Linked DNA regions of Arabidopsis thaliana. Each later gene encodes a partner of the first gene's protein in a complex. Each region holds a gene or a part of one and is shown in the gene's direction. Other genes may lie near its edges.

Region 1 (4,952 bases):
TCTTGATTATTTTCTTTAAAAAATATATGATAGAATATGAAAATAAATGGAGAATTCAAAATATTTTGGAAACAAATCTCTTAAATCTTATTTTTTATATATAATTTCAAAATAATCGATTTTGGAGACAATCTTAAATTTTCAATACATCCAACAAACAGTAATAGAAAAAGCAAATTGGATAATAGTAATAACATATCAATATAACATGTTAATATGTATATTAAATCCTTATTACAGTTTTACATTTTCATTATAACTGACAGAATTTTTAAAATTGAAAGAAATTTCTTTCGGTTAATAATAATAATACTAGATTTTCACCCGCGATATACCGTAGGGACAATTTATATTTTAAAATTAGTATATATAAAAGTTTGTAATTTGTAACAATCTATGTAACTATCTATAAAATATTTTTATTTTATAGTTTAGAATTGTTATTAAGTAACGTCCTGCCAAACTCGTCCTGCCAAACTCGTCCTGCCAAACTCGTCCTGCCAAACTCGTCCCGCCAACCCATCCCGTAAAAAAAGCTCATTTATTTTATTAATGTTGATCTTCTTTATCATATGTTTATGAATCATTGTCTAAATATTTTGTAATTTTGTAGTAATTAAATGTTATCAAATATCTCTGCGGTTTGATGATTATAATTGAATTGTAATAGTCATGAAGAAAAACAATATCAATAATGATAATTTTGTAGTAATTAAATGATATTAAATATTTTGAAAGTTTTATTTTAGTAACCAATCGTGTAGTTAATGTAAAGAGATTTTAAAAAAATTTATTAAATGTCAAATATTTAATTCGAAGATTTTTTTTCTAATTATCAAAAACAAATATTAAAATCCAGTGGCAATCATTGTAAATAATTCTCAACTACAAGATTTATTTCACAAAATAGTTGCAAAAATGTATATATAGACTAGATTTTAACCCGCGGTACACCGCGGAGATAATTTTTTTTATTTAAACTAGTATATATAAAATTTTGCAAATTATCTCTATCTATAAAATATTTTTATTTTATAGTTTACAATTGTTATTAAGTAACGTCCTTCCAAACCCGTTCTGCCAAACCCGTCCTGTAAAAAAAAACCGCGGTACCCCGCTAGTTGAAATTTATAATTAAAATAAATATTTTATGGATTGCGATTGTGTTTTAGTTTGTCAAACAAAATTTTGTTTTAAATAGTTGTCGAAATCTAGTTCAAATTTTGGAGAAATAAGATTTAGTGAATTGATAAGAAATGTATTTAGTTGCGTTTGCTCATTTTAAGGGATTGCAATTGTCTTTTGGGTTGTCAAACATTTTTTGTTTTAAATAGTTGCTGAAATCTAGTTCAAATTTTGGAAAAATCTGCGTGATATATGGGATTGAAATATATTTGGAATGTTTTTCGTTTGTTAATCAATTTATTGCTGAAAAAACTAATAATTAAAAGCCAGTGACAGCCATTGTAAATAAGTTTCAACTCCAGGATTTATTTCACAAAATGGATGCAAAAATATATATATAGATTATATCTATATATATGTATTTTAAAATCTTTCTCACTTTAACCTCAACATCCAAAGTTTATATGTATATATAGTTTATTTGCTCGATATGCAAAAGCGTCTGTAGTCCAACGGTTAGGATAATTGCCTTCCAAGCAATAGACCCGGGTTCGACTCCCGGCAGACGCATTTATATTTTTTAACAATCTTTTCTGAAAATTTGAAAAGACAACATTTTGCATACACCAAACATATGTACATATGTTGTGTTCTTGTTGGACTCGATGGTTTATCAACCCCAGGTCCAATAGGACAACACGAAATTATCATACAAACCACAATGATTGATTGTCCCCAAACCCTTATTTCTGTTACCAACTCCACCATATTGTCACAACTTTTCCCCTGTTATCAAAACTTCCAAATCAATGTTCTATGAATTTTAGTTTAAATTTTTACCAATTGTTTATTGATTTATACGAATTCAATCAAATGTAAAACACCAAACAGAATGGATCAGTAAATATAAAACTTTGTTATCTTCTCCAAAATTTACATTTTCATGTGTGTATAGACTATAGTATGGTTACGATGAAGTTGATGATGTTGGTGACCAAGGAGTCATATCCATGGGATAACTCCCAAGCACCCGCAAGAACGATGTAAACTCCTGAACCTCGGCAAGCGCGTTCTGAGCACGCGCCTCCGCCATCGAGGCCTCGAAGTCAACATAAAACATGTACTCAAAATGCTTCGCCGTCCCGACATTGGCATCATCCACGACCCTGATCGGACGGTTGTGATTCGGCCTCGATTCGATCTTCGTCAAGCTAATGTCTCTGAAGGCGAAAGCAGAGAGCACCTTGAAAAGCACGCTGGTTCCTTTCTCGTGCGCAAAGACAATGCTAGTCTTGAACGGTCTATCTGTTCTAGGTATGATTGGCTCACGCGCCAGCATCACGAAGCGCGTCACGTTACTCACGTCGTCCTGAATCCCATCTTCCAAAATCTCCAACCCGTATATCTCGGCGGCGCGTGCACTCGCGATAGCGGCTGTGTCGCGGAGGTTGTTAGAGGCGATGAACTCAGCGGCTCCTGCGGTGTCATCAACTGCCTCACGTGCGACATTAAGTCCGAGCTTTGTGAGCGTGTGCTCACACTGAGCGAGACCTTGAGGGTGTGAGATCACACGTGTGAGAAACTCTTTACGAACGCCGGGAAGAGCCAGTAAACAGTGATGAACAGGGAGTTGAACTTCGCCGACTATATGAAGACGGTGACGGAGGAGGAGATCGTAATTACGGTGGATAGAACCGCCGAGAGAGTTCTCCACCGGTAAAACAGCACGATCTGCGATCCAAAGCTCCACCGCTTGAAACGCAACCTCAAATTGATCGCAAGGTATAGCTTGACAATTAGGATAAGCTTTACCAGCGGCTGCTTCAGAGTAAGCACCGGGAACACCTTGATAAGCGACGCGTAGATTAGATCCGTGCATCGGAGCCGGCGAGAGATCCGTCATGCTAAGGGGTTTCAGTGGATTATGACGATGCTGTGGAACCAACGGATTGCTATCAGATTTCTCAATCGGAACAAGATTCATTCCTGGAACTCGTGCGGCGGCGCTGTTATGGCCGTTGAGATGATCAACTCCGCCGGAAACTGGAGGCACAGGTAAGGATTCAGATTCTTCTTGAGAAATAACCTTGCTTGTTAGAATAGCGCAGGAGCTCTGCCATTCAGAACGACCAGATCGCGCGATAAGCGCAGTCGCCGTCGCCGGCTGGCTAGCACCTAATATTGGAGAAGAAGATGATAGAGCTTTCATGTTTTAGCAATGGCGTCTTAAAATTGGTTATTCAAGCTCAATGAAATAGCAAAGTCGAGAATGTAGAAAAACATGTTTTCCTGGGGTAGTTCGTTTGTGTGGTCACTTCTCCACCTACCACAACCACCTTACAAGTCACAGTCGTATGGACCATACCGGCATTTAACTGAAAATTAATTCGACCCGATCCGGTTTAAGTTATTTGGTTTCATAAACCGATTTTCTCCATACCCCAATTGAGATATGAGAGTGTTTAAGACTTTACCGGAGGTGATTCGAGTTCAAGGAGACAGTCTACACTTGTGACTTGTGAGTCGGAGCTTGAGAACACCTACAGCTACAAGAAGGAAGTTTGTTTTCGCCTCGAGCTAGAAATCCTAATTTGTCATCATCGTCTCGAATGGAAAGGCTGTGTTCGAAATCCAAAATGCAAATGCGATAAAGATGGGCTTTTAGATAGGCCCAATTAGAGTCCAAAAATGAGGGGCTTATCAGTGATTTGGTTGCCAATACCAAAAGCGCGGGAAAATGATAAAAGATTTTTTTTTCCTCTCTACTCTTTCACTCACTTTCTCCGGCATCCACGAAGCCCTACCAGTAAAAGCCCTTTTGTTGACCCTAAATTCTCCTTCAAAGCTTCTCCAGGAATAAAGCTCCTCTCTATATAGGAATCTCTCTCTGTCCCGCGTAATTTATAATCGCCGCAAAATGAGCGGAGATAATCGAAGACGGGATCGAAAGGATACGCGGTGGTCGAAGAAGCCTAAGGTAGTGAACACTGCGGAAGATGAACTCGAATCTAAACTCGGATTTGGGCTTTTCTCTGAAGGTGAAACCCGACTTGGGTGGTTACTCACATTCTCATCGGTAAGTTCTCCGACACTCTAATCTGGACTCAACCTTGTTAATTGAGAGTATTTGAGTAGGTTTCGGATTCGATTATATGTGAATTTCTGTAAATTAAATATAAGCATTGGCGACTGAACCATACAATGAAACTCCATTAGTGCGAGAATTTAGGATTCTAGGTAATGTCAAAGTACTAGTATTTACTGATTGGATAATCTACTACGTTTTGCAGTCATCTTGGGAAGATCGCGATACTGGGAAAGTCTATAGTTGTGTGGACCTTTACTTTGTTACTCAGGTGAGCTGCTATAATTATGGTCATTACTCATTACTATGTCAGCTTCGTATAAGTTGATGAACGATTATATTTTTGTTGTTGCATTTTTCTAAATAGTTAACTGAGTTGAGGATTTTTTTCAGGACGGCTTTTCTTTCAAGACAAAGTACAAGTTCCGTCCTTACTTTTATGCAGCCACGAAAGTATGATAGTTTCTCTCTGGACATTATCGGAATTCTCCTTGAATCATTCATGTATTTTCATTTTATATGTCAATAAACTGCAATGCCAAATTACAGGACAAAATGGAATTGGAACTCGAAGCCTACTTGAGACGCCGATATGAAAGACAAGTTGCTGATATTGAGATTGTTGAAAAAGAAGATCTTGATCTTGTAAGTCAGTAAAGCATACTATGATTATTATTAGTTTAAGTCTGACTTCCTCATTGTGTGATGTAGTTGACTAGTGTCTTCCACCAGTTGATTAATG
Region 2 (5,962 bases), on another chromosome or scaffold:
GTTGCTTCCAGTGGACTCAAGTCTGACCCAAATGTCTCAAGCTTTGATGCTGATGGTTGTTCTTCTAGAGTTCTCATTTGTTTTCTATCTGATTTCTCCTTTTTTACGCTGTTATTGATCGATTATCATGGATCTATTAAGGGAAAACGGAGGATTCCAAAGTATCTAGCAGTAATTCAGCTGCTCATGATTCTTCAGATGATGGTATGTTACATTTGTTGTGACTTAACAGATGCATTGACCTCTTGTATCAATCATGAGATCATGTATGTGTGTATGTTTACATGACCTTGATTTTTGTTGCAGATTGGGAAGCTCTTGCAGATGTTGAACCGAGTAAGTTACTCCCCGTAGAAGAGTTGCCTGAAATATCAAAGCTTTCGGTTGAAGAACCTAAAGTTCAAGGACCTAAGAGACGTGGAAGGGGAACGTTTACTTATAAGAGTGATGCAATGTACAGTGATCGAGATTTCTCTGAGTCGAGGTTTGATGATGATTCAGAAGATAACGATTTATCTCGTGAGTCAGAGAAGACTGATGAATCACTGAAATGTAAGTTGTGACTCTCAATGTTTCCTTTCTGTTTTTTGGATTGTATTATCTGTAACAAGTAGAAGCAGTATGTTAGATAAATCTGATTATGATTTATATGCTGCCTGTTCTAAATACAACACCTGAATTTCTATACGCTTTTAAATGCAGCCAAGTATGGCACACGCCATGTCCTCGTACTTGCTGGTTTTTCTCCAAGTTTGAGAACTACTGAATTGGAGAAGCTATTTAAAGACTTCAAAGATAGTGGATTTATCATTCGTTGGGTCAATGATACAACAGCACTTGCAGTCTTCAAAACCCCTTCAGCTGGTATATATATGTAATTTGATTTTTCATCATACATGCATTGGGTTAACTAGGAAAAATTTTAGTTTTATCCCACTACTGCATTAGTATTTCTCTGTTCTAGTGTTGCATTGTGTTATTAGATAGTGCATTGGTCTTCATCTAGGGTTGAACCACGTAAAATGCACGGCTTAGTTGTTAAGTAGGTTTAGTATCTTTACAGCTAAAAATGTAACTTCTGCCTTTGTTGCTAACTAAGTTATAAATCAGGATAGACTTTCTCCTATACAGCTAACTCTCGCTGTGTGTTTTGAATATTGATACAGCTCTAGAGGCTTGCAAGCATGTTCAATGTTCATTCACAATACGTGTACTCGATGATAACGATTCTCTTTTGGGCTCAATTTCTGGAAAAGGTAATCTACTCCTTTTTTATGGTTCTGCAAAATTATTCCCTCTTTTAATCAGATATAAGCTTCCCCACCAAATTTTTTTCTAATTTCGTTCACTTCTATATGTCATCAAATTATGAACTTTAACACACCATTTTTCCTTAATCCGCTTGATCAAGCTGTGTAATTAATTAAACACCAAAACACATATGTGTAACTATGTTATGTTAAATGATTTCTACTTCAGATTTGGAACCGCCGTCTCAAAGACCAAAGACATCAGCGAAAACAGCTCAACGGTTGATTGCTCACAGCATGGGATTGAAGCTACCGGCTTCTGGATTCGGGTCTAAAGAGCGAGACCAAGAAGCTGCCCGGAAAAACCGGATTGTCTCGAGACAGAAACAACGGGAAGATGCTTGGGGAGATGACTGACATTAACCATACAGTTTGGTTTGCTCAATTTTCCAGCTTACCGGAGCTATATTTCGTGTGTCTACTTATTGGTATATACAACCTCAATCCACTTGAGTGATCCCTTATAAGCATTGCTACTTGCTAGTGGTTGTTTGTAGTGTTTTTGTGTATTAAATTTAAACAGTTTAAAAATGCTTTAACCGGAAATGAAATCTGGACCCGTTATTATAATATTATCCAAAGTTCTAGACCCACCCGGTTTAGGTAGAGGGGCAATAATGTAAATAACGTATTAGCGAAAGAACAAAGAATTTCCACCGATTAGGGCTCTTCCACATTCGTTTCCCGCCGATTTGGGATTTTTCAGAGTTTTGCCGCCCAAAAAGAAATTAAAGAGAGAAGAAAAAAGTTTCGCAGATTCAGAGAGAGCAAAAAGAGAGAAGTAGCGAGAATGAGCAGCACCAGTCAGAAGAGGAAGAAGATACAGAAGAAATTCAAAAACAGAGGGTACAACCTCAAATTCGATGCCTTAGACGAGATTCTCGTTTTCGCCGATCAATTTCCCGACGACGATGACGGAGAAGCTATAGATCTTCTCCTCGATAACCTCCAGGAAACGCGTATGCCGCCCAATTCGTTTCTCTCTCGTATTATTCTGCGTAATTTGACATCGATTCTGAAGTCGTTGGGTATTTTGTAAAAAATGTTGCAGATAAATCATCCACTGTCGACGCGGAATCAGTTCGAGGATTGATAAATCGCTTGTTAGGAGCTCATAACGCCCCGGAGGAACCTACAACATCTGCTTCTTCCTTGGCGATCATCGACGCGTTTCTGGTGCCAAAGTTTGGATATGATTCTGTTAAAAAAAAGTTCAACGAGTAAGTCCACTCTAATTTTCCTACTAAGAGTGTGTCTAGTGAGTTTCTAGAGACGAGTTTGATAGGTGGCTTAGGGTTTATGTGTGGTAGATGATGGAACTTTATAGTGATGAATTGTAATGGTCGTTTGCGCGTTGTTGATTGTAGAATTGGACTGATTGAAGTAAATTTTAATTGATACTAGGCATACGAGTAGCTTGCCTATTCACGGTGAGGCTTCTGCAAAAACAGCTTTATACAGGGAACGATTCATGTTGTTGTCGCAGAGAGTTTCTCGTGCAGAGCATTTTTCTAGGCCAGCATTTGATGCTGAAATGTCGCAGTTTGAGAACAATGAGGTTGGTCTACGTTTTCTGTCAAATGTGGTTGTTCTCATTTTTCTTTTGGGTTATTTTTGTGTTCAAAACTAAACTAAGGAGTTTGTACTGTGTTATGTCTAGTAGATATCTTCAATCCAGTCTCTGATTTCTCAAAGGGGAAGGAAATGGGTGATGGGAGTGATATCACAGTTGGAAGATGGACATTTCTACCTGGAAGACCTTTCAGCTTCTGTAGAGATTGATCTGTCCAAAGCAATATCCTTTTTTTAAGTTGGTTCTAAAATCTGCAAAAACTGGACATAGCATTTCAACATATTGTTTAATGTCTCATGCTGATAAAGACATAGGAAGGAATTGCGTTTGAGTTTTTTGTGCTTTGAATAGTTTTCTTTGACAATCAGTACAAGATAACAACAGGATTCTTCACAGAGAATACTATAATTTTGGCAGAAGGCGAAATGCAGGTTAACGGTATCTTTCAGGTAATTAGAATTGAAGGTGGCAATTTTGGGCCTTTCTCTCCCCCATTCTGAGTTAATTACTTTTTAACTAGGGAGATATTTGTATAATTTGCTGAGGTGCACATTCATAGATTTTACGATTTTGTTTTATTTTTCATGTTGGGGTCAAGATATTAGGCTATTAGCTATATGAAGGATCATAGAACTAAGTCATGTATAGGGTCCTTTCTGTGACAAAACATACGTACACCTGTCTCCAATAAACACTTGATCAGATTGCCTGTAACAAAGCTCAGTTTTTCATAATATGTTCTTTGACCAACTCATCCTCTTCTAAAAGTGTATTCTCATCTTGTGGTGAAGGTGATTACATGTGGATTTCCTCCCTTAGAAGACAGGGACAAAACACTAAAGGCGCATTCTGAATATGATTTCTTCGGAGGCGGCACACTAACTAAAGAAGAGATGGTAATCTTTGATTCGTTGTTTGTACTCGGATTGAGAATTTTGTAAATTTTCAATGCAATCCCTTACATAGTAGGTAAACCACACTAAAAATAATGTGTTTTTTGCCTGCCAACAGATTAAACTTGCAGACCTTGAAAGACAAGCGGTGAATGACACATTTGTCATATTGTCTGACATATGGTTGGACGACGAAGAGGTGAGTTGGTGTACCAAGTACTCTATTTAGCATCAATATTTTGTGACATTGCTTGATCGCCACAATATGTTGTCCGTAGAGAAGGTTATGAGGAAGCTGGAAACTGTTCTTGACGGTTTTGAAAGTGTGGAGACAGTACCCTCCTTGTTTGTTTTTATGGGAAATTTTTGTTCTCGCCCATGCAACTTATCCTTTGGTTCGTATTCAAGCCTTAGGTAAGGGATCATTGTAGTTAGAATCTTCAATTGTTAAATGGGAATTTCTTCTTATATATTGTCGATAACCTGTGTCCATTTCTTTCGCAGGGAGCAGTTTGGTAAACTTGGGAGAATGATTGGAAACCATCCACGGCTTAAAGAAAATAGTCGGTTTTTATTCATTCCAGGTCCTGAGGACGCAGGTACCATCATCACCACCATTACTATGTAAATAATCTTTAACTGAGATCCATGAGGTAACATGACTTATAAAATCTCATCATATTTGACAGGTCCCTCAACAGTCTTGCCAAGATGCGCTTTACCGAAATATTTAACCGAAGAGCTTCGAAACATTATTCCCAATGCAATATTTTCAAGCAATCCTTGCAGGTGAGTTTTCTATACGATGTGTGAACTCTCTATTGCTCATCATTAGTTTTTTTTTCTTTTTCTTTTGAATTGTGAACATTTGCCACACATAATCTTGTCTTTGTAAAATGCAGAGTAAAGTTCTATAACCAAGAGATTGTGTTCTTCCGACAAGATCTTCTGTATCGGATGCGTCGTTCATGCTTAGTAACCCCTTCCTCAGAAGAAACGAATGACCCTTTTAAGCATGTAAACACATCTCTCGTCTCTGTTATTTTCTTACGTATGATTTAAAAGTTTTCCTGGTAAATGATGGAAACTCCTGAAACGTGTTGTTACAGCTTGTCTACACAATAACTCATCAGAGCCATCTATGTCCTCTACCTCTCATGGTGCAACCCATCATTTGGAACTACGATCACGCTCTTCGACTGTACCCAACTCCTCATACGGTATTCATTTCTATATCAAATCCTGCACGAAACCCGCCTTATAACTAAGTATTGTTGTTGTTTCAAAACAGATAGTATTAGGTGACAAGAGTGAGCAAGAGGTTTGCAAATTTGGGGGAACAACATGTTTCAATCCAGGCTCTTTCTCAACTGATAGCACATTCGTAGCTTATCGACCTTCCACTCAAGAAGTCGAACTCTCTGCTTTGTGATTCTCCTTTTAAAATTCATCCCAGGAGATCAATTGAGTGCCATTTTTACCAGACAAGCCTGAGCTTAAAAGGTATACAGAAAGAGTGAAAAAAATACTTCATGCCCCATTCTTTGCTTCTCTGTTGTATACAAGTTGTATCCTTATAAATTAAGTATTCTTTTAGGATATGTCTTAAGGTAAACAAATAATAGTCATAAATTTATATCAGACAAGGGTCGATCTAAAGTAAAAAATGCATAAATTTAAATGCAAATTGCCATTATGATTAGGTCAAAAATACACATCCACTCAAATTATAGAAAAGCGCTTTCATTCAGACAAAATTGTAAAAGGTGACTGTGAGTGAGAAATCAAGAGAGCTTTCTGGAGAGGTTAATTAAGCCACTTCCAGTACACTTGAGTATAACAGTCCCAGTCAATGGATCAGGTTTGATGGCAAACTTAACTCCCAGAAACTCCTTAATGTTCCTCAACGTCTCCACTGCATATGGAGATAATGTTCCAACTCGAACCTTTGACACGTCTTGTTCAGATAACGCACACAGTAGAAACAACAATCCCTGTAAAAAACCTCAGAGAATCAACAACACACCCACTTAAAGTCTGATCGATCTTGGTGTCTATGGTTAATGTTTTCAAATTTTAAAACGTACCTGGTGTGTTGAATCAACAACTCCACCTTTTTCAATCTCTTGAAGAAGCCATGAAGCTACTTCAACTCCTGTGTCTTCTGCTGGCGATCTCTCTTTCTT

What was found. The genes of interacting proteins can lie anywhere in the genome.
Region 2: TIL1 (region 1) and DPB2 share a complex: the UniProt entries of both Arabidopsis thaliana proteins name them as parts of the DNA polymerase II.

What each region holds. Positions count from the first base shown.
Region 1 is NC_003070.9:2,586,902-2,591,853, forward strand, and holds the start of TIL1 (DNA polymerase epsilon catalytic subunit), read left to right. Parts: upstream 1-1,952; 5' UTR 1,953-2,092; coding exon of another isoform or gene 2,093-3,334; 5' UTR 3,335-4,042; coding exon 4,043-4,201; intron 4,202-4,415; coding exon 4,416-4,481; intron 4,482-4,603; coding exon 4,604-4,663; intron 4,664-4,759; coding exon 4,760-4,855; intron 4,856-4,952. Other genes in the region: ADT6 (arogenate dehydratase 6), read right to left, coding at 2,093-3,334. UniProt on the Arabidopsis thaliana protein: DNA polymerase II, which participates in chromosomal DNA replication. Required for the timing and determination of cell fate during plant embryogenesis and root pole development, by promoting cell cycle and cell type patterning.
Region 2 is NC_003076.8:7,330,317-7,336,278, reverse strand, and holds DPB2 (DNA polymerase epsilon subunit B2), read left to right. Parts: upstream 1-1,996; 5' UTR 1,997-2,100; coding exon 2,101-2,269; intron 2,270-2,361; coding exon 2,362-2,530; intron 2,531-2,714; coding exon 2,715-2,868; intron 2,869-2,973; coding exon 2,974-3,105; intron 3,106-3,254; coding exon 3,255-3,332; intron 3,333-3,674; coding exon 3,675-3,779; intron 3,780-3,894; coding exon 3,895-3,975; intron 3,976-4,059; coding exon 4,060-4,190; intron 4,191-4,280; coding exon 4,281-4,375; intron 4,376-4,465; coding exon 4,466-4,565; intron 4,566-4,678; coding exon 4,679-4,793; intron 4,794-4,885; coding exon 4,886-4,996; coding exon of another isoform or gene 4,997-5,044; intron 5,045-5,067; coding exon 5,068-5,208; 3' UTR 5,209-5,454; downstream 5,455-5,962. Other genes in the region: AT5G22120 (coiled-coil protein), read left to right, coding at 1-55, 142-204, 307-552, 703-864, 1,167-1,256, 1,480-1,667; AT5G22100 (RNA cyclase family protein), read right to left, coding at 5,561-5,770, 5,864-5,962. UniProt on the Arabidopsis thaliana protein: As accessory component of DNA polymerase II participates in chromosomal DNA replication. Required for the timing and determination of cell fate during plant embryogenesis and root pole development, by promoting cell cycle and cell type patterning.